Linked DNA regions of Oryctolagus cuniculus. The protein of the gene in region 1 interacts with the protein of each later gene in a pairwise test. Links are inferred from orthologs where the notes say so. Each region holds a gene or a part of one and is shown in the gene's direction. Other genes may lie near its edges. The genes, in order: HMBOX1, WT1, BYSL, AEBP2, ASB7, ABITRAM and SH2D4A.

Region 1 (4,281 bases):
GGCCAGCGCACCGCGCTGATCCGAAGCCAGGAGCCAGGTGCTCCCTGGTCTCCCATGCGAGTGCAGGGCCTAAGCATTTGGGCCATCCTCCACTGCCCTCTCGGGCCACAGCAGAGAGCTGGCCTGGAAGAGGGGCAACTGGGACAGAATCCGGCGCCCCAACCGGGACTAGAACCCAGGGTGCCGGCGCCGCAAGGCGGAGGATTAGCCTATTGAGCCACAGTGCCGGCCCCTGAGCCTATATTTCTTTAGCAGTTCATCTACCTATCAATATGAAATGAAATAAAATAAATAATAGCTACCACAGAGGGTTGCTATTAGAATTAGATGAGATTACATTTTAAGAAACTCTTTATCAAGTTCTTCCCTAGAAGTGAAGGTTCAGTAAATTTTTAGTACAGTATATAAGCATAAGGAATCTTTTTTTTCTGCCAAGGGGTCAATTGGATATTTACAGTATCATTCATGGGCCATATAAAATCATGAACCTAAAAATTAGCCTGCTATAGATTTACTGTAATTATAGTAATTACAGAAATTACTGAACTTTGAGTTTCTCCTGCCGTTTCCTTGGCAGGGCCAGAACAAATGATTTCCCAAGCCTTATACAACCTGTGGGCCAGACATTTCCCACCCCCTGAAGAGGGCTAAAGAGACAGTGGACAATGAGGTCTGCAATAGCTTATAGGAACTGGCCCCAAATTGACAGTTACCTGTAAAGGAATAGAAAATTCCTTGACATGTGCTCCATCAGCAAACTTATTAACAGGCTACTGCATGCCATCCATCCTGTTTGGTGCTAGAACAATAAAAATTAAAATAGAAGAGATTACCACTTTCAAATATCTTTAATATAAAAAAAAATCAGATTTCATAGAAAATTCAACTAGTGAGAATTTTTATATTTGACAACTCTTAATATGTTTGTTACTCACTCTAAGAAAATATTTTCTGGTGTGCTGCAATATCTTGTCTTAAGTAGAGAAAACATAGAAGCAATTTCTTAAGAAAAATAAATGGCTTGGTTTGGCTGCTACCGTAGAAGATCCATTTTTCAGGATTAAGAGAGAATGCATTACAGAAATGAAAAACTGATGAAATTGCTAAGTAGTGGATGAATCGTACTTAATAAGTTTTTTTATAAACCTCTTTTATTTTCCACTTAAATAATTTTACTGCTTATAAGTATTTGCTTAGCAAATCATTTGTTTTCACTAAGTGAAGTTATACATAGAGTTCTCAGTTTTACTTTGCAGATATTTGGTCAGCAACTTTTCATTAATACTCTAATGAAAAATAACATATTGAAAATGGAAAAAACAAAGACCTGTTAGTTATCACATAGCCTGGGCTTAATGATCTATATGTACTTAATCTACATCTATTGTTTGGTATTATTGTCGTAACTAAAATTTTTTCAGAATGCTTACCAGAATTGAGGAAAATGTATATTGTATGCCATATGAAATTGAGTTTTGGGGCCAGCACTTTGGCCTAGCGGGTGATGCCACTGCCTACAGTGCCAGCATCCCATATGGGTGCTGGTTTGAGTCCTGGCTACTCCACTTCCTATCCAGCTCTCTGCTATGTCCTGGGGAAGCGGAAGAAGATGGCCCAAGTACCTGGGCCCCTGCACCTGCGTGGGAGACCCGGACAAGACTCCTGGCTTCAGATCAGTGCAGCTCCGGCCATTGAGGCCAATCGGGGAGTGAACCAGCAGATGGAAGACCTCTCTCTCTCTGCCTTTCTTCTCTCTCTGTGTAACTCTGACTTTCAAGTAAAATAAAGAAATATAAAAAAAAAAAAAAAGAAAAAAATGAGTTTTGTTATTTTTAGTTTTCACCTGCTAATCAACTCAATACCTGTAACAATCCATTTGCCATGGCAAAAACATTCTGATGTGGGACATATCTTACTATTTTATTTTTAAAGCTTTATTTCACTTATTTGAAAGACAGAGTTAGAGAAAGAGAGAGGGGGGGGTGTCTTTTATCCACTGCTTCATTTCCCAAATTGCCACAGTGGCTAGAGCTGAGCCAATCCAAAGCCAGGAGCTTCTTCTAGTTTTCCCATATGGGTGCACAGGCCCAAGGACTTGGGCCATCCTCCGCTGTTTTCCCAGGTGCACTAGCAGGGGGTTGGATCGGAAATGGAGCAGCCAGGAGTCATACTGGCGCCCATATGGAATGCCAGCCCTGCAAACTGGGGCCTCAGCCCACTGTATCCCAGCACTGGCCCTTTACAACTTGTTTTTTAAAAATATTGATTTATTTATTTGAAAGTCAAAGAGAGAGGGTTGGTGGGGGGGCAGAGAGAGATCTTCCATCTGTTGGTTCACTCCACAGATGGCTACTACAGCCAGAACAGGAGTCAGGAGCTTCTTCTGGGTCTCCCATGTGGGTGGCAGGAGCCCAAGCAGTTGGGCCGTCTTCTGCTGCTTTTCCCAGGGCATAAACAGGGAGCTGGTTTGGAAATAGAGCAGCTGGGACATGAACCGGTGTCCATATGGGTTGCTGGTGTCACAGGTGGCAGCTTTACCTGCTTCACTATAACATACAACTCTGGCCCCATGTTTTGCTGCTTTTAATTAAGAAGTAGATGTAGAAAAGAAAACAAGTTAATGTAGAAATACTGCATTCTTCATAATGACATATGCCTTGATAAATATTGTCGATAAAGATACTTATTTTTCTTTCTTTTTTTTTTTTTTTTAGTTTGCTGGAAACCATGTCTCACTATACAGATGAACCCAGATTTACCATAGAGCAGATAGATCTGCTTCAGCGCCTTCGGCGTACTGGGATGACTAAACATGAAATTCTCCATGCTTTGGAAACTTTAGACCGTCTTGATCAAGAGCATAGTGACAAGTTTGGAAGAAGGTCCAGCTATGGAGGAAGTACATACGGGAACAGTACCAACAATGTTCCGGCATCTTCTTCTACAGCTACAGCTTCCACACAGACTCAGCATTCGGGAATGTCCCCTTCACCCAGCAACAGTTATGATACCTCCCCTCAGCCTTGTACTACCAATCAAAATGGGAGGGAAAATAATGAGCGATTGTCCACATCCAATGGAAAGATGTCACCAACTCGCTACCATGCAAACAGCATGGGTCAGAGGTCATACAGTTTTGAAGCCTCAGAAGAGGACTTAGATGTAGATGATAAAGTAGAGGAGTTAATGAGGTAAGTTACTTTGCTTGTTGAGACCCCTAAAAATGTCTGTGTTCTTAAATTGTTGTTAAATAATAAGCTATATTTAAGTTACTTAGCTGTAAGACTTCTGATTTTTTTTTCCTGCCCTTCTTTTGAGATGAAAAATATTTCTTAAAATTTTGTGGGTTTTTTTTGATAGGTAGAGTTATAGACAGTGAGAGAGAGACAGAGAGAAAGGTGTTCCTTCTGTTGGTTCACTCCCCTAATGGCTGCTACGGCCAGCGCTGCGCCGATCCAAAGTCAGGAGCTGGGTGCTTCCTCCCGGTCTCCCATGCAGGTGCAGGGACCCAAGCCCTGGGTCATCCTCCGTTGCCCTCCCAGGCCACAGCAGAGAGCTTGACTGGAAGAGGAGCAACTGGGACTAGTACCCGGCGCCCCAACCGGAACTAGAACCCAGGGTGCCGGTGCCACAGGCAGAGGATTAACCAAGTGAGCCATGGCACCGGTCAAAATTTTGTGTTTTCATTTTAGAGATTTATTTATTTATTTGAAAGTCAGAGAAGGAGAGCTAGAGAGAGAGAGAGATGGAGGGTGGGAGAGAGGGAGGGAGGGAGAGAGGTCTTCTATCTGCTGGTTCACTCCCCAATTGGCTGCAGCAGCCAGAGCTGAGAAAATTCGAAGCCAGGAGCCAGGAGCTTCTTTCAGGTCTCTTACATGGGTACAGGGGCCCAAGGAGTTGGGCCATCCTCCACTGCTTTCCCAGGCCATAGCAGAGAACTGGATAGGAAGAGGAGCAGATGGGACCTGAATCAGCGCCCATTTGGGATGCCGGCACTGCAGGCAGCGGCTTTACCTGCTCCGCCATAGGCCAGACCCAAAATTTTATGTTTTTATTTCAGATTTTCTCTACTTCATCTCTTTCTCTTTGCTAGCTGATAAGCCCTTTAAAAAAAAAAAAAAAGGTTTATTTTCCTTTGTTTGAAAGAGTTACAGAAAGGTAGACATCTTCCATCTGCTGGTTCACTCCCCTAATAGCTACAGCGGCCAGAGCTGAGCTGACCTGATCTGAAGCCAGGAGCCAGGAGGTTCTTCTTGGACTTGGACCATTCCCCGCTGCTTT
Region 2 (4,281 bases), on another chromosome or scaffold:
CCTTCCCAGGGGGAAAGCCAGATGGGGAGATGGCCCCAAGTCTGCCAGCTTAGATTTTTCTCTCCCAAACAAAACAGAAATGGGTTGAGCAGGCCCAGCCCTTGGGGGTCCCTTGGCAGCTGAGAGCTGCAGTGAGATGTGAGCCTATCTGAATGGCCAAAAAGGGAAGGCCCTTAGTGCCTCCAGAGTCCACATGTATTCTTTTGATTTCCCTGGGTTCTTGCAGCTCCCTTAGAAAGCAGGACTTGGCCCAATGCTTGGGGCTAGGGGACTCAAGGGCTGTTCCAGAGAATGGTCATAACTTGCCAAGGCCAAACGCCAGGGGCCAGAAATGGAGGCTGTCTTTGGATACCTATCCTCGGGCAGGGCAGTCCAGGCATGGCCCAAGACAGGGACAATCGCTGATGCCCACTCACACATCTCCCCCTTCCCCACAAAGCTTCACAAGCCTGTTCATTCTCCTCACCCTCTGCTTCTGAAATACAACTGGCATCCCACTGTAAATATTAATTTAGCAGACATCAAATGCCTACTCAGTGCCAGGCACTGGGGACTGAATGGTAAGACAATTAATGGTCTCTAAAACCTTTGTGAGAAGCTCACAGCCTGACACTTAAGGAGACCTTTGTTTTTGGATGAGGGAATGGAGGCTCCAAGAGATGAGGGTTGCAAGAGGTCTCCGTTTGTGGCAGAGCTGGGCTCTGACTCAGAGCACTCCAGGCTGGGTCTACCTCCTCCTCCAGGGATCTTGGCCCCACTGTGGAAAAGGGTTTCCTCTGCCTGGCTGAGGTTTGCTAGGGCATAAGTAGGGTGAGGCCTGAGGTATCCCCAGACTGAATGCTGGCTTTTCAGGAAGGGGTGAGAGCTTGCTTGCCAGACTTTTGCTGATCCCCTAAGCCCTTTGGCCTGCAGAGCCCTAGCAGACCAGGCCTCGGGATCACAGGCCACCTTTGGGTCAGGTGGAGAGACCAGTGTCCTCTGAGGGCCAAAAGCAGCCCTCTCCCAACACCCTCCCCTCACTTGGGACAAGGGATTTCCTTGGCGGACAGATTTTCTCAGATTCCACTGCAGCTGCAAAGTCGTGGTTTTCAGACTTCTCAGCACCTTCCGGGCAGAGCCTGCTGCCCATCCCATCCCTCGCTTCCCCGGGATTCCCGGGCTCCTCCGCAGCCGCGGGCGGGGGAGGAAGGCTCAGAGCTTGTCTTGCCTCTCTGCGCGGTCAAGGTTGTGCTCCCCTCCCGGACCCGGAGAAACCGTGGGAAAGGCGCTACCTTGGCCGCTAGGGCTTCGTGTTCCAAGGCCTGTGCAAGGAGCCTTTGAACACAGGGCTCCTTCCCGCCCGCAGCTGCCAACCCACCCCCACATCCCCCCGCCTCGCCTCCAGGTCCTCCGCCTCCGCCCCCTCCGCTACAGGCCTAGCGCGGGACCCAGGGATGGCGTTCTCTAATCAGTCCGGCGTCTGATAAGCTTCTAATTAAAAGAGCCCTTACCCGTTCAGCAGGCGCTTTCATCACCACCTGTCTCGGGAGACCCAAGGGAGGGGTTCGAGGACAGCTCCTACCTACAGAGGCCTGCGTGTCCTGTCCGGGAGGGGGCGGGTAGGCACAGACATCCCTGGGCCAGAGTTTTGGGGCGCGGAGCCAACGCAGCCAGCGCGGGAGCCGCCACGGAAACCACAGCGCTCGCTTCGTGCTGACGATTGCGGCGCCAGTCTCCCGGAACCGTGCGGTGCCCCTGGTCACTGCCTGCTCATCGGCTCAGAAATGGAGAAGGGTTTGTCTAGGATTTTTTTGGGTCACTTCTATTTCTTCTCCCCTTTTTTTTCTTTTTTAAATGGTATTTTAGAAATTCGACTAACCCACTGGCCAATGTTGGTTGCCCGCAGCCAAATTTCGTTTGTAAACTGATTGTTAGGCCTTACACAGGGCTAAGCCTCCGACCCCAGAAGGAAGCCCCTGGGGGCCCCAGCGTGCTCACCCACGACTAGGAGCTAACGGGACGGAGGCTATCTCGGACTACTTGGCAGGCCAGAAGTGGAGGCCCCGTGGGGTCACGCAGAAGGTGCGTGAGACTTAGCGCCCGACTGGTACGGAGCGAGCAATTACCGGCTGCTCCCGCCCCCCAGCTCCCGCCCCTTGACACTGCACAGTCGGGTTGAGCTTCCCTTTTTCCCCGAGTTGCAGGTGGACGCGCGTCTTCTGTTCTTGCGGCGGTGGTAACGGCTTCGTTGCGCCGTCTTGCCGGACTTCGGGGACACTTGTTGCTAACCCTTGATCCTACCCGGGCAAGAGTAGGGGGCCTGGGTTCCATTTCCCGCACTTCACGCCCGAGAATTCCGTGGGGTTTGGAGACCCTCGAAGGAACTGGTGGTGGCCCTGCGGGAGCGGATGTCCGCATCCGGCTGCTCTTCCGTTTGCCACTCCGCGTGGATCTCAGGAACCAGCACCTTTTGGGTTCAGAGCTTATCTTTAGCCAGAGGATGCGTTGTCCGCAGAGGCGGCCACAGCTTCCAATATAACCTGGCGGGGGAAATGTTTAAAGCGATTTAATAACGATAATCATAAGCGACGTATTCCAACCGAGCCACCTTATTTCTTATCTCACTCTCGGGGAAGATGTTGCCCTGGATTTCTCGGCAGGGAAACTGAGGCAGAGGGCCCCTAATGCTGCCGTGGAGGGAAAAGGAGACACGGTATCAAACACTTCCAAAAAGAAATCCGTTTTCTGTTCCGTGGAGCAAGGTAGCTGACCACCGAAGCAGTGGTCAGCGCCGGTCCCTGGGAGCCCCAGGTGGTCGGAGGCGGTGGGGGAGGGGGCGCAGGGGAGTGCCCCCTCCTCTCCCCCTCACCGCTTAGCCGAGGGTGTCGGGTGGTGCAGCCCCAGACAGATAACGTTACTCGGTAATTACTCTCTCTATGGAAAGCGCAGGCCGTTTCGCTGGCTCGGAGTAATTAATGAAAGTTGGTGCGCAGGCCCCTGATTTACAGCTCGGAGTCAGCGCGGGGTCAGCGGAACAGATTCATTTCGCTCGCCCGCGCTGGCCCTGCGCGAGAGCCGCGGTGTTTGTTTTGGGGGGAGAATTACTTTCTCCGGCGGGGCGGGCGACGGGTTTTACACTTAACTTGCGGGAGGTTCGGGGCAGAAGCGGCAGACGCCGCTGTGCAAGACCGAGGTGTACATAAATTGGGAAAAGGCGGGGGAGACCAGGGTTTTAGTGGGCAGAGGATGGGGAGCCCGTCCCCACGCCATGTCCTGAGGCTTGGGTCTGGCTGCCCGCCGAGAAAGTCCCGGGGGACGCGTGGGGTGGGATCAGCCTCCGCTGGGGATCTGAATGCGTGGGGGTCAGCACCACCCCACGCCCAGAGTCTGGCTCACATCCAGGGGCTCTGTCTCCGGAGAGCCCCGCTGACACTGTGTTGTGTGTCTCTTTGCCGCTCCCGCAGGATACAGCACGGTCACCTTCGACGGGACGCCCAGCTACGGCCACACGCCCTCGCACCACGCGGCGCAGTTCCCCAATCACTCCTTCAAGCACGAGGACCCCATGGGCCAGCAGGGCTCGCTGGGTAAGCGGGCGGGAACCACGCGGGTCTTCTTCCGTGCAAGTCCCCTTCCCACTCAGAAATGTCCAACCCCCAGCCAACTGGGGAAGGGAGCAGAGGACATCTAAAGGAACCTTCGAAATAATTAGCACATTTCCACTCTAATATCTTAAAGAAAAAAACAAATTGAGTCTCCTCCCATCGCATCGAGTCTCTCATCCCATGGAGTAGAAAGCGCATTGCAGCCAATTCCCAAGGGAATTGCAGTCCCTGTGCGCCCCGCAGGGACTGTGACGCGCCCAGCTCTTTGGGAACGACAGCCCCGCTCTTGCATGCCCCGCACCCTGGCCTCCGCGTCCCCATCTCCCCAGGCTTTCTTTTCTGAGCCTTCGGGGGAGTCGCGCTGACTGTTACCCTTGCTCTTTCGGCAGGCGAGCAGCAGTACTCCGTGCCGCCTCCGGTCTACGGCTGCCACACGCCCACCGACAGCTGCACCGGCAGCCAGGCCCTGCTGCTTAGGACGCCCTACAGCAGGTAGGAAGCCCTGGGGCACCGCGTCTGGGGCCATAGAGGCGGGCGCGCGAGCCAGTGGGCGTGGAAACGTCCCACGCGGGGCAGCCAGGCCTGCAAAGTCTTGGAGGCACAGGACGCCTTTATCCCACCTGGCCACTGCAAATGAAAGCACAGCTCGTTCTCATTTGGAATATAAATGGGAGTAATTGCTGTAGCCCAAGAAGGT
Region 3 (3,681 bases), on another chromosome or scaffold:
CAGCGGCGGCCATTGGAGGGTGAACCAACGGCAAAGGAAGACCTTTCTCTCTCTGTCTCTCTCTCTCACTGTCCACTCTGCCTGTCAAAAAAAAAAAAAAAAAAAAAATGTAAAAAAGAAAATCTCTTTCCTACACCATTCATAGTAAGAGATAGATATAGATATCTCCCCCCCCCCCCCCCCGAAAGGCAGAAAGAAACAGACTCAGATCTCCCATCTACTGGTTCACTCAAAATGCCTGCAAAAGCTGAGGCTGGGCAAGCTAAAGCCAAGAGCTAGGAACTCAGTCTGGGTCTTGTACATGAGTGACAGGGACTCAACTACATGCGTTATCACCTGTTGCTTCCCAGGAGCAGAACCAGGACTGGAATCCAGATACTCCCATGTGGAATATAGGCAACCAGGTGGCTTTTTTCTTTTTTCTTTTCTTTTTTTTTTCTTCTTCTTTTTGAGAGACAGAGTTACAGAGAGGTCCTCCATCTACTCCCCATATAGCTACAATGACTGTAGCTGAGCTGGTTTGGAGCCAGGAGCTTCTTCCAGGTCTCCCACATGGGTGCAGGGGTACAAGCACTTGGGCCATCCTCCACTGCTTTCCCAGGCCACAGCAGAGAGCTGGATCGGAAGTGGAGCAGCTGGGATATGACCCGGCGTCCATGTTGGATGCTGGAGCCCCAAGCAGAGTCTTAGCCTCCTGTACCACAATGCCAGCCCCCATGTGGCATCTTAACTGCTATGCCAAGTACCTGACCCCCAAATGATGTTTATTTTTAAATATCTTTTTATTGGAAAGGCAGAGTTAGAGAGAGAGCTTGATGTTGTATCTGTTGGCTCACTCTCTGGATGGCCTCAATGATCAGGGTTGGGCCAGGCTGGAGCAAGGAGCCTGGAACTCATCCAGGTTTCCCCACATAGATGAAAGGGGCCCAAGCACTTGAGCCATCTTCCATTGTTTTCCCAGGCACAACAGCAGGGAGCTGGATCGGAAAGGGAGCAGCTGGGACTTGAATTGGCCCTCAAATGAGATATAGATATTGCTGGCAGTGGCTTAATCCACTGTGCCATAATAGCAGCCTCCACCCAGTGATATTTAAAGGGGTAAGTCCAGACCTATCATGTGACTTGGGGACTTCCCCTCACCCCACTAGGATTTTTGCTTCTAACCTGAAAGAACGCATGGCCCAGCGCTTCTACAACCTCGTCCTGCTCCCCCGCATACGAGATGACATCGCTGAATACAAACGACTCAACTTCCATTTGTACATGGCGCTCAAGAAGGCCTTGTTCAAGCCTGGAGCCTGGTTCAAAGGTGGGCACCCAGAGGCAAGGAAGGAGCGAGGGGCTGGAGCGCCTGCAGGTGAAAGCTGACCTGTTGCGGGAAGTGGGTGTCTCTAGTGCTGGCCCCTGGGGCTGGTGCGGGGGTTTCCTGGTGTACCTTCCTCTCACCCTGGGCTGGGAGTGACTACCCTCTGCCTGTCTCCAGGGATCCTGATCCCCCTGTGCGAGTCAGGCACTTGTACTCTCCGGGAAGCCATCATCGTGGGCAGCATCATCACCAAGTGCTCTATCCCTGTGCTGCACTCCAGGTAGTGTTGGTGGGGCTCGAGGAGGACTGCGCAGTGCACAGAGTGGGGTGGCCAGGACTTGGGGAGAGGGTAGCGACAGGAAAGAGTAGAACAGCTGTGGATTTGTGGCTGGTTGAAGCAGTGGGTGTGTCATTGCTTCACTAGAATGTAAGTTCCACTAGAAGAGGATCCCAGCACCTGGCATATGGCAGGTGCCCAGTAAATAGTGGAATGAGTAGGGCACACAGGGAGGAAGTGAGGTGGGGGTGCAGATGTCAGCATGTTTGGACATTCTAGTTGGATCCTGGGACAAGTGTCTAAGCCAGAGGTAGAGGTGGTAACTGCAGTCAAAAAAGGATGAAGTTGGGTAGGTGAGGAGGCCTGAGATGGCCCCCTTGGGAACACCATTGTTAAGGGCCAGCAGAGGGGAGAACCAGGCTCCCTCCTCCAGCGTTTCCCCATGGATTAACCCTACCACGCCACCCCTTCCCCAGCGCGGCCATGCTGAAAATCGCCGAGATGGAATACAGTGGTGCCAACAGCATCTTCCTACGACTGCTGCTGGATAAGAAGTACGCACTGCCCTACCGCGTGCTGGATGCCCTGGTCTTCCACTTCCTGGGGTTCCGGACAGAGAAGCGGGAGCTGCCCGTGCTCTGGCACCAGTGCCTGCTGACATTGGTCCAGCGCTACAAGGCAGATTTGGCCACAGAACAGAAAGAAGCCCTCATGGAACTGCTCCGGCTGCAGCCCCACCCACAGCTCTCCCCCGAAATCAGGCGGGAGCTTCAGAGTGCAGTCCCTCGTGACGTAGAAGATGTCCCCATCACCATGGAGTGAGGAAGACGGTCACCTGTCCTGGTCCAGTGGGCATGGGAGGACACCAGGTCCCCTGGGTGACTGAAGATGACACTGAGCTTTTTATGCCTGAAGACCAGGGCAGTGACAAGGTCACAGGGCATCTGTGGCTCCCAGGCCGGGCAGGGTGGCCTGAGAGTCTGTTTGGCTCCCTCCTCTCTTCTAGGCCTTCGTCCCTGCTCCCTTGGTGAGCTGATGTGATCCACAGCCCAGCATTCCCACTCCCCAGCTGGGGCTTGGTTTAAGCACACCTTCTCCGCCTGTTTTATCAAGTCACTGGGAAAAACAAAGACGGGTATTTATTGAACCTGCGTTCTGCTGCAGTTGATGAAGGTCTTTCTCCTTCTCTGTGGCTGGAGGTGGGAATTTCCTCTTCCCTGTTGTTGTCTCGGGAGTGGGATCTTTACTCAGTTTACACAGCAGCCGACCTTAACCTCCCAAGTGCTTCTCCAGGCTGCGTGCCTCCAGTAGCCCCCAGGGGCACATGCTCTGCCTTCCCCTTGAACGAATGACACTGTTTAGTTAGTTGGGTAGAAGGCCAGCCATGGGGTTGTTCAGAAAGTAGTGGTTTCTGGGCCATGGATGGAACAACTACAGAGGGGAGATGGGTCTGCAGATGAGGTGGGATCAGCACCAGATAGATTCCCTTCCTAGGTTTTAAGCCAATCAAAGCTTTAGGCCAAGGGCTGGTATTGTGACACCAGCATCCCACACTGGAATACCAGTTTCAGTCCTGTCTGCTCCACTTCCAGTCCAGCTCCCAGCCAATGTACCTGGGAAGGCAGCAGAAGATGGGCCCTTGCTACCCATGTGGGAGGCCTGGATGGAGTTCCAGGCTCCTGGTTTTGGCCTGGCCCAGCCTTGGCTGTTGTGCCTATTGAAGTGAACCAGTGGATTGAAGATCTCTCTCTCTGTTTGATGCCCTTTCAAATAATCTTAAAAAAAAATATTTTATTTGAAAGGCACAGTTACAGAGAAGGAGGGAGAAGCAGAGGCAGAGAGAGATCTTCCATCTGCTGGTTCACTCCCCAAATGGCCACAAAGGCCAGAGCTGGGCCAATCTGAACCCAGGAGCCAGGAGCTTCTTCCGGGGCTCCCACAGCACTTGGGTCATCTGCTGCTGCTTTCCCAGGCCACAGCAGAGAGCTGCATCGGAAGTGGAGTAGCCAGGACTTGAACTGGCACCCATTTGGGGTGCCCGCATTGTAGGTAGTGGCTTTATCTGCTACGCCACAGCACTGCTCTGTGGGGAGCAAAC
Region 4 (4,281 bases), on another chromosome or scaffold:
CTTTTCAGGACTAGGGTTTCCTCTTGGAGTACAGTATGTTAATATTTACCTATATAATTCATCTGTTAACGGTTTTTGAAAAACCTCTATTTCAAATTATTTGAATAGTCTTTGTATTTTCATTTAACCTATATGACTAATTTTTTTCCTGAGGAGAGCAGTTTGGTTTTTGAGTTGTTTTTATCAATATAAGAAAAATTGTATTTTTTTTAAAGTATCTTCAAACTGAATCTTTTATGCACCAAAGTTGGTTTTGAAAAGGAAATAAAATCATTTTCTTGCTTGCTAAGCAAGAAGCCATATGGATTTTTGTTTTTTACTTACAGAAATGGAAATATGTGTAACTTGTTAGTATTGTATGAGACAAATGTTGCATAGAGATAATAGAACATTGCTTGTAAATAATTCAGCAGATTTGTAATATATTTTTATATTATGAAATGTACTGTAGATGTTTTTCTAGAGGCATGAAAGTTAAATGTATATATTATGGTAGAAATAATATTGAAGGATATTGTAATTCACTAGTGCTGCCAGAGGAATTGTTAATAAAGCACCTTCTTTAACAATAAATGTCTTTTGCAGACTTAAGGGACTATGTACTACTGTTAATATCTATAAGAACAAAACACATTGAACATCCTTCCAGAACGTCTTTGAGGGAGGACCTACACCCATAATAGAATTATGGCACTCATTTCTGACAGTGACCGTGAAATCCATTATTTCCTTGCTGTTGGAAGGACATATTGTAAAGTTTGTGGTTATATGCAGTCAAACTGCAGAAAATACTCCTGATTAAGGAGCTTTCACTTTACTACAATGATATAAAAACCAGCAGTTTTTACACTAAATTTTTTAAAAGAGTAGACAAAAATATAGAAGTAAGCCTTTGGTTCCAAAATGGGAAAGGTTCCATGATACTTAAGTCATTTCTCATTTGCTTTAAAAAATAAAAAATAAATAAAAATTATGGGAGGGTAAAGAGCTATATATGTGAAATGAGTCATATAAAAGTAAATGAAGTGCAAATAAAAAGCACTGCTATAAGACATTCTGGAATGGTTGTTTAATAAGGGTATTATCCATACCATCTGTAGCAAATGTGATTTATTTTTGAAAAGAAAAGCAGTGTGTTTTCTTACTTTTTTGTTTTCTTTTGCTTAAGCACTTCATCAGTTGCTTTATTCTGTATCTGCGAAGTAATCTGCGATCTCCTTTGTTCTTTTTAAGTTTTGATTTGTTATAACATTGCCAAATAGAAGTGTTTCAGATATATAGTTTGTACCTGTATTTTTATTTTATTGCCTCATGTTCTTGTAAGTCATTTTTAATTGACCGATGATTGTAGACCTTGCTTGAGTATTTTTTCTAATAAAACAAACAAATTGCATTTAGCTTCAAATTGTAACAATTCAATTAAATTTTAAAATTACATCTGAAAATATACAGCTAATATTCTTTAGGGACACAGAGAATAAATTAGTTTTTTTCCATTGTGTAGAAATACTTAGGTGTCAAAACCAAATTTCCTGGTTATTGATGACCTGCTGATTATGTTATCATTCATGATGGTTTTCTGCTTATCTGACTTTACTTTAATAGTATTACTGTCATACCAAAAAGAATGAATACTTAAAATGAGGTTGTTTTATATATGTATACATATATACACGTATTCCAATTATGATTGGGAAATAAGTGAAAATCTTAACTCGTGTAATCATGTATTAAATCTCTACCCATTTTTATTGTTCCTTCTACTCCCAAATGTGATGCCTGTAGTAATCTATCCCTTTTCCAAGTCCTCGTGTAGTCAGTTGCTAGTTAAACTGCAGCCTTCCTGAATAAGTGTTCTTCCATGTGTTATCTGTGACAGCCTTCTCCCTGCAAAGCCAGAAGTGAATAGCAAGCCCTTAAGGTCCACAACCCTAAAATAGTTACTCTCTGGTCTTAAGGAAAAGTTCACTGGTGCTTGGTCTAACTAGTAAAATTTTTTTGAAAAAATGGACTTAGACCACACACCTTGGATTTTGATGCAGTGGTACTTATCTTGGTGACATGACAGTACAGTAAATTTCAGTGAAAACGGATAGACTTTTAGTAAATACTGCTTTTTAAAGTATCTACAACAAATGATCTTTTTGGAAAACATTTTACATTGGATTTCTTAATAGGTGTTAATAGTCTACTCTTTCACCATTTGTATTTTCGTATTTTGTTTTACAAAGTAGGACTAAATATGAAAATCAGATATGTTTGAACCATAAGACGCATCTGCTTTATCTAAAAGAATATTGAAGTGGAAAATATTGTAAAATTTAAAGTTGTTTATTTTTCTAATAAACATTTTCATATATGAATTTTCCCTAAAGTAGAACACATTACTTCCAGATTTTAGATGAAATTACAATTGACAGTGATTAACTGTCAATGCATGTTTTAAAATCCTGTTTCATTCATTAAAAGCATTGATAATCATGTTTGCAATCCTTTGAATGTAAAGTGTTTTTTCCCTTTTACACATTAACAAAATGTTTTAAGTATGTAGAATCCTCTTAAGAACATAGATTTTGCCACAATTGTTTGAAACATCTTTTGTTTGCTCTTTGAATTCTTTTAAGAGATGTCTAATTTCTTATTTTTAAATGAAACATAAAAATGGGAAAATATTAGTGATTTAAAATACTAGATGGGTATATTTTCTGTTTAGTATAGCTTTAAAAATATCTTTACTACCTTTGCATCAGTTTTCCAAAAAGGCACACAGAAATCATAGTTTATGTACATTCTTAATATAGAAAACTGACAGTTGTGTAACAATGTGTGAAGTTAAGACTACAAAGATATATATATATATATATATGTATATATTTGTGAAAAGGGAATTGATATGTCATTCAAAACAGATTTTTTCAGAGAAGTAAATTTTGGGGATTCTGATTGAAAACCTTTTTTTTTTTTAAGATTTATTATTTGCTTGAAAATCAGAGTTACACAGAGGAGAAGCAGAGAGAGAGAGTTCTTCTATCGGCTGGTTCACTCCCTAATTGGTCGCAAGGGTTGGAGCTGCGCACATCAGGAGGCAGGGAGCTTCTTCCTTGTCAGGGGCTGCTTCTGGTCTCCCACACGGGTGCAGGGGCCCAGGGACCTGGGCCATCTTCCACTGATTTCCCAGGCCATAGCAGAGAGCTGGATCGGAATTGGAGCTGCGAAGATTTGAACTGGCGCCCATATGGGACAACGGCACTGCAAGCGTTGACTTTTTTACCAGCTGCGCCACAGCGCCGGCCCCTTTTTAATTCTTAAGGAATCTTTTGACTTGTTAGGACATTTTGCAGTTTTAACACTGCAGTTTTTAATAAGTGCCAAGTTTTCATATTTAATTAAAGGTTAGAGTATTTTTTCATCTCTAGTTATTATGAATACCAAGATGCCTTAAAAATGTAGTCATGAAATACTATATTCAAATTTTTTATCTTCAAAATTTGAAAAAATTACCAAGCTTTATTAATTCCCGAGTCATGTTGCATGTGGTTCTGCTTATCTGAAAATCAGAACGGACTTGCTTTCAATGGGTTTTGCCAGGAATTCCCATGCAGATTTTTTACAATAAGTTATTTTGAAGAATTGTAGCAAGAAAACATGAAAAAGGTTATAATGTTCTGTATAAAGGGAACTTGGCTTCAGTTTGTCTAAAGAGTCTCAGTGTAAAGAGTGTATCACTGTTACACATAGTTCATATATTAAGTTATAATCATTTTGGTTAATTTCACTAAAAATACTTTTATTGGGTGGAACCTGTCTCTAAATAAAAAAACCTTGATTATATTTGTTATACATAATAGTTTAAAATAACACTCTTTGGAGAAAGTACAGAGTATTTGGTTTTTTTATTTGAATGTTTTGATCTCAGAGACTGGCCACTGCCTACCTACCCTGACTTTCTTCAATACTTGTATGCTTTGGTTATGGAAAACCTACATTTTAAAAAACCTTAAAAATTTGATATGAAGCTTGCCATATTTATATGTTTCTGTTAAAACTGCTTCAAACATATTCTGTATTTGGGTCGCTGAAAAGTCTTCTGTTTGTCTAAAATTTATTACATTTGGGAGATTTTTTAGAAAAGCATTGGGTTTTCTGAGGGAGATTCCATAGCTAGGAAATGACAGTCAAAGGATACTCTAAAGAGTTCCTTGTGAAATGCAATTAAAATGTAAATTTACTTTGGTGTAAAGAAATTTGCAATCCAAGCATAGTCTATTAAAAGACACTTTA
Region 5 (4,281 bases), on another chromosome or scaffold:
GGTTGTGTTTTGGGGGAGTTCAGTTAGCTCCCTCAGCAAGGTTTTCTCCATGGGTGCCTGGCACATTTCTTAATACGCAGGTGTTTTGAGGTTTCTGTTGCTTTCCCAAGTGAACTCGTTTTCTTGTCTTATTGCATTGGCTGATAATAGTCCTTCAGTTCTGCCTTGCATCTCCCGTTCTGTTAGCGCTGCCCTGCACCCCCCAGCTCCTCGTTCTGTGCTGTGTCCCCGGGTGCTCTCAGTGCAGTGGCTTTAGGAAGCAGGTCACTGCCGTGTCAGGCTGTGAGCGTCCTCAGCTCAGGGGGCAGCGAAGTTCTTAAGTCCTGAGTGGGGAGCAGAGGGGCAAGCGGGATCTGCTGTAACGGAACTTTGATGTTATTGTCAGGAGTGCAGGCTGCAGACAGGGTGGTGCCTGGCACCCTAAAGGCACCCTTGGAGGGTGAAAGGCTGGAGTATAGGTTAAGAGAGAGCACGTGGAAGCAGTGGCTGGGCAGGTAGAGATTGGAATCGACACTAGGACAGTTTATTGTTTCGTTAGGATAGAGGTGATCCCCTAAAAACCCTGCCGGTCCACACCTAGCCCCAGCCTGGTGAGTGAGGCAGGTGCAGCAGGTCCCCGGGACCAGAGCTCTGTGATCAGTGGCAGGAGTAGCGCATATGTATGCTTTACCAGTAGGTGGCAGCAGAGTGCCATGGCAAAATGTTCTTGCTTTTTTTTTTTTTTTTTTTTAAGCTTTGTGGGGAATAGTTACAGTTTGATTTTCTTTCCTTTAAGACCAAGGGCGACAGGACAGCCTCATTTTCTCTAAATAGATAAAAGTAGAACTACCTCTGTGTCCTTTCTCTATACTAAATGATTTTGGAAACCTACACAAATGTAACTTGCTTTTGTATGTTTTATTAACAGCTCCTTCTTACCTGAAATGTGCACTGTTTTGGTATTATTCCTGTTTTACAGTTTCTCTGCCCCATCGATTCCCGGGAGAGCATCCGGCTGTTCTCTGTTGCAGAACTAAGTGATATTTTATCAAATAATACATGAATGTTTACACCCATAACTTTGGAGTCATTTAACATGTGAAAAACATTATTTTCTCTCTTCTGTAAACAGACCAGCAATTAAGGGCAGTGTATAAGAAGAAAGCGTTCTGATCTTAGTTAGGTCTGAACAGTTTGTCTTAGCCATTGAATCATGGCTTTGAAGGAAAAGACACAAAACTCTCTTGTTCTGCCATTGCCCAGAGAAGTCAGTGGGACGGAAGCCGCAGAGCACTGGCCTGTGGCTCGGTGGAGGAGCTGAGGCAGGTGACGGAGGAACGCGCTGCAAGGGTCAGATAACAGCTTCTCCCCAGTAGCAGTTGAGTGCCGGTTTTTGGAAACTTTTAGAAAAATGTGTACGGTGCTGGGGTTTCTCCGAGTTTGTCACATACTGTCCTTCTCAATTCTGATGAACGATAAAGTTCATGAAAAACCAAGAGTCCAGACTAGGCTTTTCTGTGGTGAGAACACGCGTTATCCAGGTCATTTCACTACAACCTTACATGCCTTGGGCTTTCCACAGACCACGGAAAGCCGCTGACAATTAGTATTTTTACCTAACGTGCCCTGAGACAGTCGGCCTGCCAGACGCAGTACGTCGTCATTTGGAGCAGCGGGTGTTGCGACACACACTTCTCTTTTAAGACCAAGAAGAAGCACAGGAGAAAATAAAACCAAAACCGAACAGGAGAGACATACGAAACAACACAGACACAGGGTAGGGGGTGGAGGGTGGCTGTGCCCCAGGCTGTGGTTCAGCGAGCCAAGAAGGGGGAAGTGGTGGTGGGGAGCTGGACTCTGTTCTTCGTCTGCCTGTTGAAATACTTGCTAAGTCTCCCTCCGTTGGCCCAGGCTGGGTCACTTTTCTGCTCAGGTTTATTTTCTGGGAAAATTAGCGCTTGGTAAAGCCGGGGGTGGGGGGAGAATCGTACTTGCTGCCTCCTGGTGGTGTTGGGTCTCCGCATGTGTGTGAGCCGGGGCACCAGCGTGCTGCGCCCTGGAGGGTGTGCTCTCGGCCGAGGTCCGCTAACGTCTCGCTTTGGTTTCAACTCCAGCCGACCCCACAGTGAAGGACTTAATCGGAGGCTTCACCGCTCTTCATTATGCAGCCATGCATGGCCGGGCCCGGATTGCACGCCTGATGTTGGAGTCTGAATACAGGAGCGACATCATTAATGCCAAAAGCAACGACGGCTGGACTCCCCTCCACGTGGCTGCCCACTACGGGAGGGACTCGTTTGTCCGGCTCCTACTGGAGTTCAAGGCCGAGGTCGACCCGCTCAGCGATAAAGGCACGACGCCGCTCCAGCTCGCCATTATCCGCGAGCGGTCCAGCTGCGTGAAGATCCTGCTGGACCACAATGCCAACATCGACATCCAGAACGGCTTCCTGCTGCGCTACGCCGTGATCAAGAGCAATCACTCCTACTGCCGCATGTTCCTCCAGAGAGGGGCAGACACAAACTTGGGGCGCTTAGAGGACGGCCAGACCCCTCTGCACTTGTCCGCCCTCAGGGACGATGTGCTGTGTGCACGGATGTTGTATAATTACGGAGCGGACACGAACACAAGGAACTACGAGGGGCAGACCCCACTGGCTGTCTCAGTAAGCATCTCTGGAAGTAGCCGGCCGTGTCTGGATTTCTTACAAGAAGTCACAAGTACGTAATGTTGTTCTTATTACTATTATTGCGTTGTTTGAGTTTGAGTCTTCTCAGGGCCTTCACGTAACTGCTGACGTAAAATGACCAGACGTTAATCACGCAGCGTCCCTGCCTGGCGAGTAACGCCTCATGCAGCCACAGCTTGCCTTCTACGGTCCTGTCTCACAGTGGAGTCAGTGGGGCTGGACGGAGAGGGTGGAGACGGAGAGGAGGGCAGAGTGGGTGCCAGCCTGGGAGAGGTGGGGGCAGTTTGGGACTTGAGATTCCAGGACGCTGTGCTTTCACGGTGAGTGCTTGGCTTTTTTGCTTCCTGTGCACCCACGTGACGTGGAACACAGCCGTGTTACTTGCGTGGGTGCCCGCATAGCATAGGTGCAGGGGTCAGAGATTGTGGTGAGGGACTCCCGCTCTCCGAGGGACGCCGGGCTCCAGGGAGACCTGGGCCGCGCAGTTTCTGTCACATCCGAGCTCCGCCTGCGTGGCACTGTGGTTCAGAGCCTGGAAGAGGCTGGCCCGCCCCGTGCGGTAGCTTGTGTGTGCAGGGTGTTTTCTGGGGGTCTGGCTTCCGTGGGCTCAGCCACCACCTCAGCAAGCTTCCCCGTGGCCAACCGGTCGAGTGCCTGTCCCAGAGGTTAGCACCCAACACGAAGCCTAATCTGTAACCAAATTGATTTTACTCTGCTGCGTTTTTAATGAATCCCCTTTGCTGCCATCGACTTTGAGCTTTCTGCAACCTTGTAGAAGAAGAAATATTGGCGTTCTGGGTGCCAGGCGCTGGGGGGCAAGGCATTTGTTTGGCTTGCTTGTGAGTAACCCTCTCTCCCCCTGGGAGCTGAACTTTGGTGTGAAGCAAAGTAATGAAATGCAATTTGGATTTTATGCATTTGTCATGGGGGATAAGATGAAGGAAATATCATAAATATATTCAGACTCAAGCACTTAAAAAAAAAAATCACTGAGCCCTAACTCCGTTGTAGCCAAGAAAACTTCCTGGGTTGGTGGGAATGATCACTGCCCTGCCAGCCACTAGCCTCTTGCAGTTGGAACCTGTCAGGCGGCCAGTGCCATTGAGGAGCTGCCATTTTAATCGTTACCTAATTGTGACCAAGTCACACGCAAATGGCCACAGACGCTCATGACCCCTTGCAGGTCAGCACAGATCCGCCCGCCTGGGGAGAGGCCCGGGGCAGGCGATGTTGTGACGGGGGCTGCCGGCTACCTCCAGTCTTGTTGTTGTCGTCATTTTAACGTCCACCGCAGACTCCCTGGTAAAGCTGTGTGGCTGCCCTGGGGAAGGCGCGTTCTACACGCACATGGTGCCTCGGCCCCGCTGTGGCCAGTGGCGTAGGCCAGAGCTGGCCCAAGGGAATCTGCAGCCTGGCTCTGCCCGTGTCGGCTGTGACCTCGGGCCGGGGCCCTGAGTCCTCTGTGCCTCAGTGTCCATCCTCAAGTTGGGACAGCAGCTGCGTCCGTCTTACAGGCTGTCGCGAGGGGCAGGTGAGTTGGGATTTACAGTGCACACACTCGGTGCTGTGTGTCCTTCCCAGACAGTGGCGCGGAACTGCTGATGAGGGGGGTG
Region 6 (3,434 bases), on another chromosome or scaffold:
TCTAACATCAACAAGGTATTTTGTCCCTTCTAGTTTATTAAACCAGTGTCTTGAGCTCTATAAAATTTAGGTGACCATGTCTTCTTTACCATATTTTTCACATGTAAATTAAAAGGAAAAAATCTGGACAGAGTAGGAAAATATGTCAACCTGAGAAAACATACAGTATTTGCATTGCCAGTCTAATACACAGTTACCCACACCACCTTCTACCTCCTCACAGTCCTCAGTTATGAAACATGGTATCTCCACAGGTCCAGGCAAGATGACATTTTATTGAAAGAGGGTTTCACACCACAGACAATTTTAAGAGCATATTAGTGATGCCAGCATCCCAAGTGGCAGCTTATCCCAGCTACCACAATGCTGGCCCAGATATACTGGCAGCACTGTGGGCTGCTTCTCTAGGGAAGCTGGAGAAATGTCCATCAATTCCTCACTTCTTCCCTTCCATCACACAGGGGGCGCAGTTTCTAACAGAATTCGCACCTCTGTGTAAGATTTACTGCTCAGATGGAGAAGAATATACCATATCTAGGTGAGTAACTTTTTCACCATCATTTAGGAGAGACAAAGCAGATAATATTTTTCATACAAATAATTCTGTTTTTAATAGCTGTGTGAGGGGACGGTTGATGGAAGTGAATGAAAACATTCTCCATGAGCCATCTATTCTTCAAGAAAAGGTAAAAGAGGAAAAATATATGATCTCATCCCTGTATCTTTTAAGGGATTTTTAAACCGTTTTTGAATTTTTATTCATTAGTATATTTGAAAGGCAGAGAAAGAGAGATTTCCCATTCACTAGTTCACTCTCCAGATGCCTGAAGCCAGGAGCTGGAATTCAGTCTGGGTCTCCCATATGGATGGGAGCCATCACCCACTGAGCCATTACCCACTTCCTCAGAGGGCTAGAATTGAGAGCAGAGCTGGGACCTGAGCACAGCCCCTCCCCCCAAACAGCAGCTTAACTGCTGTGCCAAATACGCACCCCACCCCACCCCACCCCCCTGATATATTTGCCAGTACTAAATATTCTATTTCCTTTCCAGCCATCTACTGAAGGTTACATTGCAGTTGTGTTACCCAAATTTGAAGAAAGCAAAAGCATAACAGAAGGCTTACTGACACAAAAACAGTATGAAGAAGTTGTGCTGAAACGCGCTGATGCTACTACAGCTACATCATGAGGACTGCAATGGAGCCAGAGCAACATGGGATTCTTAGCCTTACCTGGCCTAAACCATCAGTGCCCTCAAGGAGACGCAGCATAATGTGTGAAGCACATTTCTCCCCCAGCCATCAGCAGAAGAGCCCTAAGCCTTCACTTAACCTAGTTTTCCCTCTGTCTTGCCTGATAAGCTTTGGCTCCCACTTGTCTTCACCCTCACCCTGTTCCCTTGCTTCCAAGTAAACAAGCAAGCAGGGGATGCATTTTGATTCATTCTTTCTCTCCCTCTCTCTCTCTCTCTCTCTCTCTCTCAAGCAGGGGATGCATTTTGATTCATTCTTTCTCTCCCTCCCTCTCCGTCTCTCTCTCTCTCTCTCTCTCTCTCTCTCTCTCTCTCACACACACACACACACACACACACACACACACCCCTCTTTGGGTAAAATTTGGCAAACATGGAGAAATTTTAAGTAACTGATTTATTCATCCTCATCGTATTAAATGGAAGTAAATACTGTATTTTGACATACTTCTATTGTTTGAACATTATGGCATGGCTGTTGTTTTTACTTCAATTTTCTATCAGTTTGAAGTTTTTTCAAAAACCTAAATGACCTTTCTTCACCCTGCTTGAGTGTGACACAAAGTCTTGTCCTGCCTGTTTTTTTGTTTTTTTGTTTTGTTTTTTTTGTTTTTGTTTGTTTTTGTTTTTGTTTTGGCAGGCAGAGTGGACAGTGAGAGAGAGAGACAGAGAGAAAGGTCTTCCTTTTGCCATTGGTTCACCCTCCAATGGCGGCCGCGGCTGGCGCGCTGCAGCCAGCGCACCGCGCTGATCCGATGGCAGGAGCCAGGTACTTATCCTGGTCTCCCATGGGGTGCAGGGCCCAAGTACTTGGGCCATCCTCCACTGCACTCCCTGGCCACAGCAGAGAGCTGGCCCCCGCCTGTTTGTAAGTTACAGGAAGAGGCTGGAGTGTAGAGTGTACCTTTTGTCCTCCTCACACCTATTAACTAAATGAGGAACACATCTTTGAAAAATACCAAATTCTGCCTTAACAAATGGAAAATAAGGCAACTTAAGTTGGTTCTCATAGTGGATACATTGTAGTCAACCAAGGTCACTCTGGTGACTGGGTAACTAACAAGCTTCTGCCTTTGAACACAACAAAGACTTCTACATCCTTAAAAAGAAACAAACTAACTCAATTTATGGCTTAAAATTGGATACTGATTTACAATGAATTCCAAATAAAGGACATTAAGAAAACATGTCACTTTTTCCTTAGACTACATATATTTAAACAGCTGTGTTTTTTACAGTTTCTATCCTCTTACGCTGTTGAAGTCAAATATTACCCCCTCCCCACACCTACTGAAGTATGTAACTGCATCTTTTTTTTTTTTTTTTTTTTTGGACAGACAGAGTTAGAGAGAGACAGAGAGGTCTTCCTTCCATTGATCCACCCCACAAATGGCTGTTATGGGTGGCGCGCTGCGCCAATCCAAAGCCAGGAGCCAGGTGCTTCCTCCTGGTCTCCCATGCGGGTGCAAGGCCCAAGCACTTGAGCCATCCTCCACTACATTCCCGGGCCACAGCAGAGAACTGGACCGGAAGAGGAGCAACCGGGACAGAACTGGTGCCCCATCCGGGACTAGAATCCGGGGTGCCGGCACTGCAGGTGGAGGATTAGCCTAGTGAGCCGTGGCGCCGGCCTGTAACAGCATCTTTTAATTTTTTTTTTTTTTTTTTTTTGACAGGCAGAGTGGACAGTGAGAGAGACAGAGAGAAAGGTCTTCCTTTGCCGTTGGTTCACCCTCCAATGGCCGCCACGGCTGGCGCGCTGTGGCCGGTGCACCACGCTGATCCGAAGGCAGGAGCCAGGTGCCCCTCCTGGTCTCCCATGGGGTGCAGGGCCCAAGCACTTGGGCCATCCTCCACTGCCTTCCCGGGCCACAGCAGAGAGCTGGCCTGGAAGAGGGGCAACTGGGACAGAATCCGGCGCCCTGACCGGGACTAGAACCCAGGGTGCCGGCGCCGCAAGGCGGAGGATTAGCCTAGTGAGCTGCGGCGCCGGCTAACAACATCTTTTAAATAAAATTTAAAATTAGTTTTAGTTCAAAGCAAAACGTCTTGTAACCCGGGGTGGTGAAATGTCATGTAAGGTCCCGGAAATCACTGGTCTGGCCCTGCCAAGACAACTGCAGGCAGGACTTGAAATTCAATGCGTCCTCAGCAGGCTGATTTTTGAGTGGCTAATTTTGT
Region 7 (4,281 bases), on another chromosome or scaffold:
TTTTATTTTTTGACAGGCAGAGTGGACAGTGAGAGAGAGAGACAGAGAGAAAAGTCTTCCTTTTTTGCCATTGGTTCACCCTCCAATGGCCGCTGCAGCCGGCGCACCGCAGCCGGCGCACCGTGCTGATCCGAAGGCAGGAGCCAGGTGCTTCTCCTGGTCTCCCATGGGGTGCAGGGCACAAGCACTTGGGCCATCCTCCACTGCCTTCCCAGGGCACAGCAGAGAGCTGGACTGGAAGAGGGGCAACCGGGACAGAATCCGGCGCCCTGACCAGGACTAGAACCTGGTGTGCCGGCGCCGCAAGGCGGAGGATTAGCCTAGTGAGCCGCGGCACCAGCCATCACTTTTTTTTTTTTTTTAAGATTTTATTTATTTATTTGAAAGTTACAGACAGTGAGAGGGAGAGACATAGAAGTCTTCCGTCTGTTGGTTCACTTCCTAAATGGCAACAATGGCTGGAGCTGGGCCAATCTGTAGCCAGGAGCTTCTTTCAGGGTCTCCCATGCGGGTGCAGGGGTCCAAGGACTTGGGCCATCTTCTACTGCCTTCCCAGGCCATAGCAGAGAGCTGGATCAGAAGAGGAGCAGCTGGGACTAGAACCAGCGCCCATAGGGGATGCCGGCGTCGCAGGTGGAGGATTAACCTACTGCGCCACAGCACCGGCCCCTCTTTGTCACCTTTGAGTTCTGCTTAGAGTTAGTGAGCCAGGAGGAGGCCTGGGGAATGGGTTTCTGACATCACAGCGCTTCTTTTTGTAGAGGAAATCCCCTCAACATCCCAGAACTGAAATTCTGCTACTGAATTTATCTCAGAGTGATCTTCTCTGCTGTCCCAGTCTTCAGTCTCTGAGGCCATCTTGTAGCAGAACAAACCCTCTTCACAGTGTGGGGGAGAAGGCAAGGCAGCGAGGTTAGAGGGGGCAGAGAAAGGAGAGGCCATTTGTGAACAGGTTAGGAAAGAATTTATCTTTCCCCACTTACTGTGTTTGCAAGTGTATGTTCTCTAGGAAAATAGTGCTGGGGTGTGTTTTACCTGCTAATGCGTGTTTTCTCACATTGTAACTGCGAGTCAGTGGTGCTTCTAATTTACATTAGAAATAAAGTCAGACCTCATTGTTAGCATAGCAGTACCCCATAGCCGCCACCAGCCCCTTGGGTGGAAGGACAAGAGACAGATTTGCGTCCCTTTCTGCACATGGGTGCAGGGGCCCAAGCACTTGGGCCATCTTCTGCTGCTTTCCCAGACCATAGCAGAGAGCTGGATCAGAAGTAGAGCAGCCGGGACTCAAACCAGTGCCCAGCTTTCTGCTCTTGAGGAGTTATTTGTATAGTGGTGGGGTGCAGGGGGTGTGACTGCCCATAGCTCAGACCGTGGAATTTGATATTGAAATACATGTGGCCGGCGCCACGGCTCACTAGGCTAATCCTCCACCTAGCGGCACCGGCACACAGGGTTCTAGTCCCGGTGGCCCCTCTTCCAGGCCAGCTCTCTGCTGTGGCCAGGGAGTGCAGTGGAGGATGGCCCAAGTGCTTGGGCCCTGCACCCCATGGGAGACCAGGATAAGTACCTGGCTCCTGCCATCAGATCAGCGCAGTGCGCCGGCCGCAGCGCGCCGGCCGCGGTGGCCATTGGAGGGTGAACCAAAGGCAAAGGAAGACTTTTCTCTCTGTCTCTCTCTCTCTCACTGTCCACTCTGCCTGTCAAAAAAAAAAACAAAAAAAAAAACAACGAAATATATGTAATTCTCTGTCCCTCGGGCACATGTGCACACACACAAACACACACACACAGTTTCTTCAGAAAGTTCATTGAAAGAGGAATTAAAAGATAATGTTTATTTTGGTGCAGTTTTTGAAGTCTGTATTTGCAAGAGGGTCTGCAAAAAGCTCATGAAAAATGCATGTGCTGTGAAAAAAACTGTGGATTTCATCTTATGTGCAGCAAAAGAAAGCTACGTTTAAATCCCATTTTTCTGTGGATTTTTGGAAGTCACCTTGTGTGTGGGTGTGGGTGTGGGTGTGTGGCTGGTTTTCCAGTGAGCTCACTCTCTCTCACAAACCTTCTCAACGATGCCAGGACTCAGGGAGTGACCAGGACGGCCTCCAGCTCCGCCCAGGAGGACATCATCCGGTGGTTTAAAGAGGAGCAGCTGCCCTTCCGAGCGGGGCTCCAGAAAACCTCGGATGCCATCGCCCCCTGGTTCCACGGTGAGTTCCGAGGCCCCCGGGAAGGAGGGGGAATCAAAGCCCCCTTTCACTGGTGCTGCCGGGGGAGTCTTTGAAAGCATCCCCACAAGGGAGTTCTTCAAAGGCTGCTGAGGGCGTCGCATTCTTGTGGCTGTTTAGGAAGCAGCCGGCATGCCCGGTGCCTGGGAGCGAGCGTGCGGGCGTGCGTGCACTGCCGGTTAATTTGGCTCCACCAGCAGAACGCCCCAGGGCCAGTGGGAAGCGCTCTGCTTCCTGTGGCCTGCCCGGGAGGCAGCTGGCTGTGGTGGACAGGCCCTGGGTCAGGCCAGGGGTCAGGCCAGGGGTCGGGCAGTGGACCCCACCTCCTCTCCTGCAAGCAGCCGGTGACCCTGAGCTCGTCATCTCCTTTGCTGTAGCAGACCCGTGCGGCTGAGCCTCACTGCCTTCCTGTGTTCTGAGGAAGAGGTGGGCTTTGTGGTCCAATCTTCTGGCGTGTGGTGAAGACCCCAGCGGGTGGTACTGCATGCTGGGCAGGTGTCGGCTAATAAACCGTGTCTGTAATTGACTCACGGAGCGTGCAGCCCCGAAGCCCCCCGTCTGCAGGCTCGGGTCTCGCTCACCACCACTGCTGGGGTGTCAGGAAGGGTCCCTGCTTCCTTGTCTCTGTGGCTTCCCTGAGCCCTGTGGTCAGCCTGCTGACCTGGCCGTGTGCACGACACAGAGATGACCATGACAGTGACAGAGTTCTCTCCAGGAGCCTGCTTGCACTGGAGCATCTTGGTTTAAATGCTGGCTGAGGCATCTCTTCTTTAGGCCGTATCACCTCATACATTTGATTAGCCGTTCGTCACTGCAGCGGAACATCTGAGACGGTAACGTCACAACACAGGGTTGTTTGGGCTCTTGATTCTGGAGCTTTCCTGTGCAATGTCGGTGAGCCCCCTGGGCCCGGCTGCTGGCGGCGGTGGTCTTTCTGAAGAGTCCACAGCATCTGACAGCAGGGGACAAGCAGGTGTCTCTGTTTCTTCTCCTCCTCCTCCTTCTTCTTTTATTTATTTGAAAAGCAGAGTTACAGAAAAAGAGGGAGAGACAGAGAGAGAGATCTTCCATCTGCTGGTTCACTCCCCAAATGGCCACAAGAGCCAGGCCTGGGCCAGGCTGAAGCCAGGATCCAGGAGCTTCTTCTGGGTCTCCTACGTGGCGGCAGGGGCCCAAGCACTTGGGCCATCCTCTGTTGTTTTTCTCAGCAACATTAGCAGGGAGCTGGCTGGGAAGTGGAGCAGCCGGGACATGAACAGGTTCCGATATGGATGCTGGCGTCCCAGGTGCCAGCTTCACCTGCTGTACCACAGCGCCAGCACCCTCTATCTCTTCTTAAAAAGCCACCACACTCTGGTCACCCCAACAGCCTCATCCACGCCAGTCACTCCCAGAGACACCATGTCTGAGCACCATAATTATGTCAAGCTCCCTCCCTCTTAATAGTGTTAACAGAGACTTCCAGGGCCAGACCTGTAACACAGGGACCTCTGTGTTACATGGCGGGTGTAGGGCGACAGTCAGCGTCCAAACGTATACACAGACTCAGGCACAAACCACAGCACACGTGAGAAACAGGCTCCTGACACGAGCTCACGTCTTCCGAGAACGGAATTTTCCGTGGCAGGCTTTCTCCTCGAGGGCTGCTTTCGCTGTCGGAATGTTCCAGCGTCCCCTTGGAGACAGCGTCCCTCGGTGATCGAGGCCTTGGTCAGTGTCCGCTCCCAGGGAGCAGGTGGCAGCACCTCCCTTCTGTTTCTGCTTTGGAGGCATTGGGAGGAGCAGTGACAGCAGCGTCAGAGGCGTGGAGAGGAGGGCGGCCGTGCTGTGCTCTCGGCTCGCTCCTTGGCAAGGATGAGCGCTGGGGAAATGAGCCGCTCGTAGCTGCCGTATGTGAGGCAGGAGCTGCTGCCATCCCTCATGACCAGGGCCGTGGTTTCCTCCCAGCAGGGAGCACGAAATTGAAAGTATCAGCTGATGCCGGCGCTGTGGTGTAGCAAGTAAAGCTGCCGCCTGCAGTGCCAGCATCCCATATAGGTTCTGGTTCGAGTCC

What was found.
Region 2: the proteins of HMBOX1 (region 1) and WT1 interact in binary tests that used the Homo sapiens proteins (3 or more experiments, as listed by UniProt). The link is inferred for Oryctolagus cuniculus from reciprocal best matches to the Homo sapiens genes HMBOX1 and WT1.
Region 3: the proteins of HMBOX1 (region 1) and BYSL interact in binary tests that used the Homo sapiens proteins (3 or more experiments, as listed by UniProt). The two-hybrid records come from large-scale screens. The link is inferred for Oryctolagus cuniculus from reciprocal best matches to the Homo sapiens genes HMBOX1 and BYSL.
Region 4: the proteins of HMBOX1 (region 1) and AEBP2 interact in binary tests that used the Homo sapiens proteins (3 or more experiments, as listed by UniProt). The two-hybrid records come from large-scale screens. The link is inferred for Oryctolagus cuniculus from reciprocal best matches to the Homo sapiens genes HMBOX1 and AEBP2.
Region 5: the proteins of HMBOX1 (region 1) and ASB7 interact in binary tests that used the Homo sapiens proteins (3 or more experiments, as listed by UniProt). The two-hybrid records come from large-scale screens. The link is inferred for Oryctolagus cuniculus from reciprocal best matches to the Homo sapiens genes HMBOX1 and ASB7.
Region 6: the proteins of HMBOX1 (region 1) and ABITRAM interact in binary tests that used the Homo sapiens proteins (3 or more experiments, as listed by UniProt). The two-hybrid records come from large-scale screens. The link is inferred for Oryctolagus cuniculus from reciprocal best matches to the Homo sapiens genes HMBOX1 and ABITRAM.
Region 7: the proteins of HMBOX1 (region 1) and SH2D4A interact in binary tests that used the Homo sapiens proteins (3 or more experiments, as listed by UniProt). The two-hybrid records come from large-scale screens. The link is inferred for Oryctolagus cuniculus from reciprocal best matches to the Homo sapiens genes HMBOX1 and SH2D4A.

What each region holds. Positions count from the first base shown.
Region 1 is NC_091433.1:45,104,446-45,108,726, reverse strand, and holds part of HMBOX1 (homeobox-containing protein 1), read left to right. Parts: intron 1-2,714; coding exon 2,715-3,191; intron 3,192-4,281. UniProt on the Homo sapiens protein: Binds directly to 5'-TTAGGG-3' repeats in telomeric DNA. Associates with the telomerase complex at sites of active telomere processing and positively regulates telomere elongation.
Region 2 is NC_091432.1:33,515,930-33,520,210, forward strand, and holds part of WT1 (Wilms tumor protein), read left to right. Parts: exon of another isoform or gene 1-1,763; coding exon of another isoform or gene 1,764-1,773; intron 1,774-1,830; exon of another isoform or gene 1,831-2,061; intron 2,062-3,443; coding exon 3,444-3,566; intron 3,567-3,973; coding exon 3,974-4,076; intron 4,077-4,149; exon of another isoform or gene 4,150-4,281. UniProt on the Homo sapiens protein: Transcription factor that plays an important role in cellular development and cell survival. Recognizes and binds to the DNA sequence 5'-GCG(T/G)GGGCG-3'. Regulates the expression of numerous target genes, including EPO.
Region 3 is NC_091436.1:127,973,564-127,977,244, reverse strand, and holds the end of BYSL (bystin), read left to right. Parts: intron 1-1,148; coding exon 1,149-1,309; intron 1,310-1,483; coding exon 1,484-1,586; intron 1,587-2,059; coding exon 2,060-2,405; 3' UTR 2,406-2,730; downstream 2,731-3,681. UniProt on the Homo sapiens protein: Required for processing of 20S pre-rRNA precursor and biogenesis of 40S ribosomal subunits. May be required for trophinin-dependent regulation of cell adhesion during implantation of human embryos.
Region 4 is NC_091440.1:117,171,043-117,175,323, forward strand, and holds part of AEBP2 (zinc finger protein AEBP2), read left to right. Parts: exon of another isoform or gene 1-1,397; intron 1,398-2,967; coding exon 2,968-3,223; 3' UTR 3,224-4,281. UniProt on the Homo sapiens protein: Acts as an accessory subunit for the core Polycomb repressive complex 2 (PRC2), which mediates histone H3K27 (H3K27me3) trimethylation on chromatin leading to transcriptional repression of the affected target gene.
Region 5 is NC_091443.1:9,960,554-9,964,834, forward strand, and holds part of ASB7 (ankyrin repeat and SOCS box protein 7), read left to right. Parts: intron 1-2,093; coding exon 2,094-2,699; intron 2,700-4,281. UniProt on the Homo sapiens protein: Probable substrate-recognition component of a SCF-like ECS (Elongin-Cullin-SOCS-box protein) E3 ubiquitin-protein ligase complex which mediates the ubiquitination and subsequent proteasomal degradation of target proteins.
Region 6 is NC_091432.1:212,644,915-212,648,348, forward strand, and holds the end of ABITRAM (protein Abitram), read left to right. Parts: intron 1-461; coding exon 462-538; intron 539-616; coding exon 617-686; intron 687-1,052; coding exon 1,053-1,190; 3' UTR 1,191-2,438; downstream 2,439-3,434. UniProt on the Homo sapiens protein: Actin-binding protein that regulates actin polymerization, filopodia dynamics and increases the branching of proximal dendrites of developing neurons.
Region 7 is NC_091439.1:3,448,202-3,452,482, reverse strand, and holds part of SH2D4A (SH2 domain-containing protein 4A), read left to right. Parts: intron 1-2,079; coding exon 2,080-2,210; intron 2,211-4,281. UniProt on the Homo sapiens protein: Inhibits estrogen-induced cell proliferation by competing with PLCG for binding to ESR1, blocking the effect of estrogen on PLCG and repressing estrogen-induced proliferation. May play a role in T-cell development and function.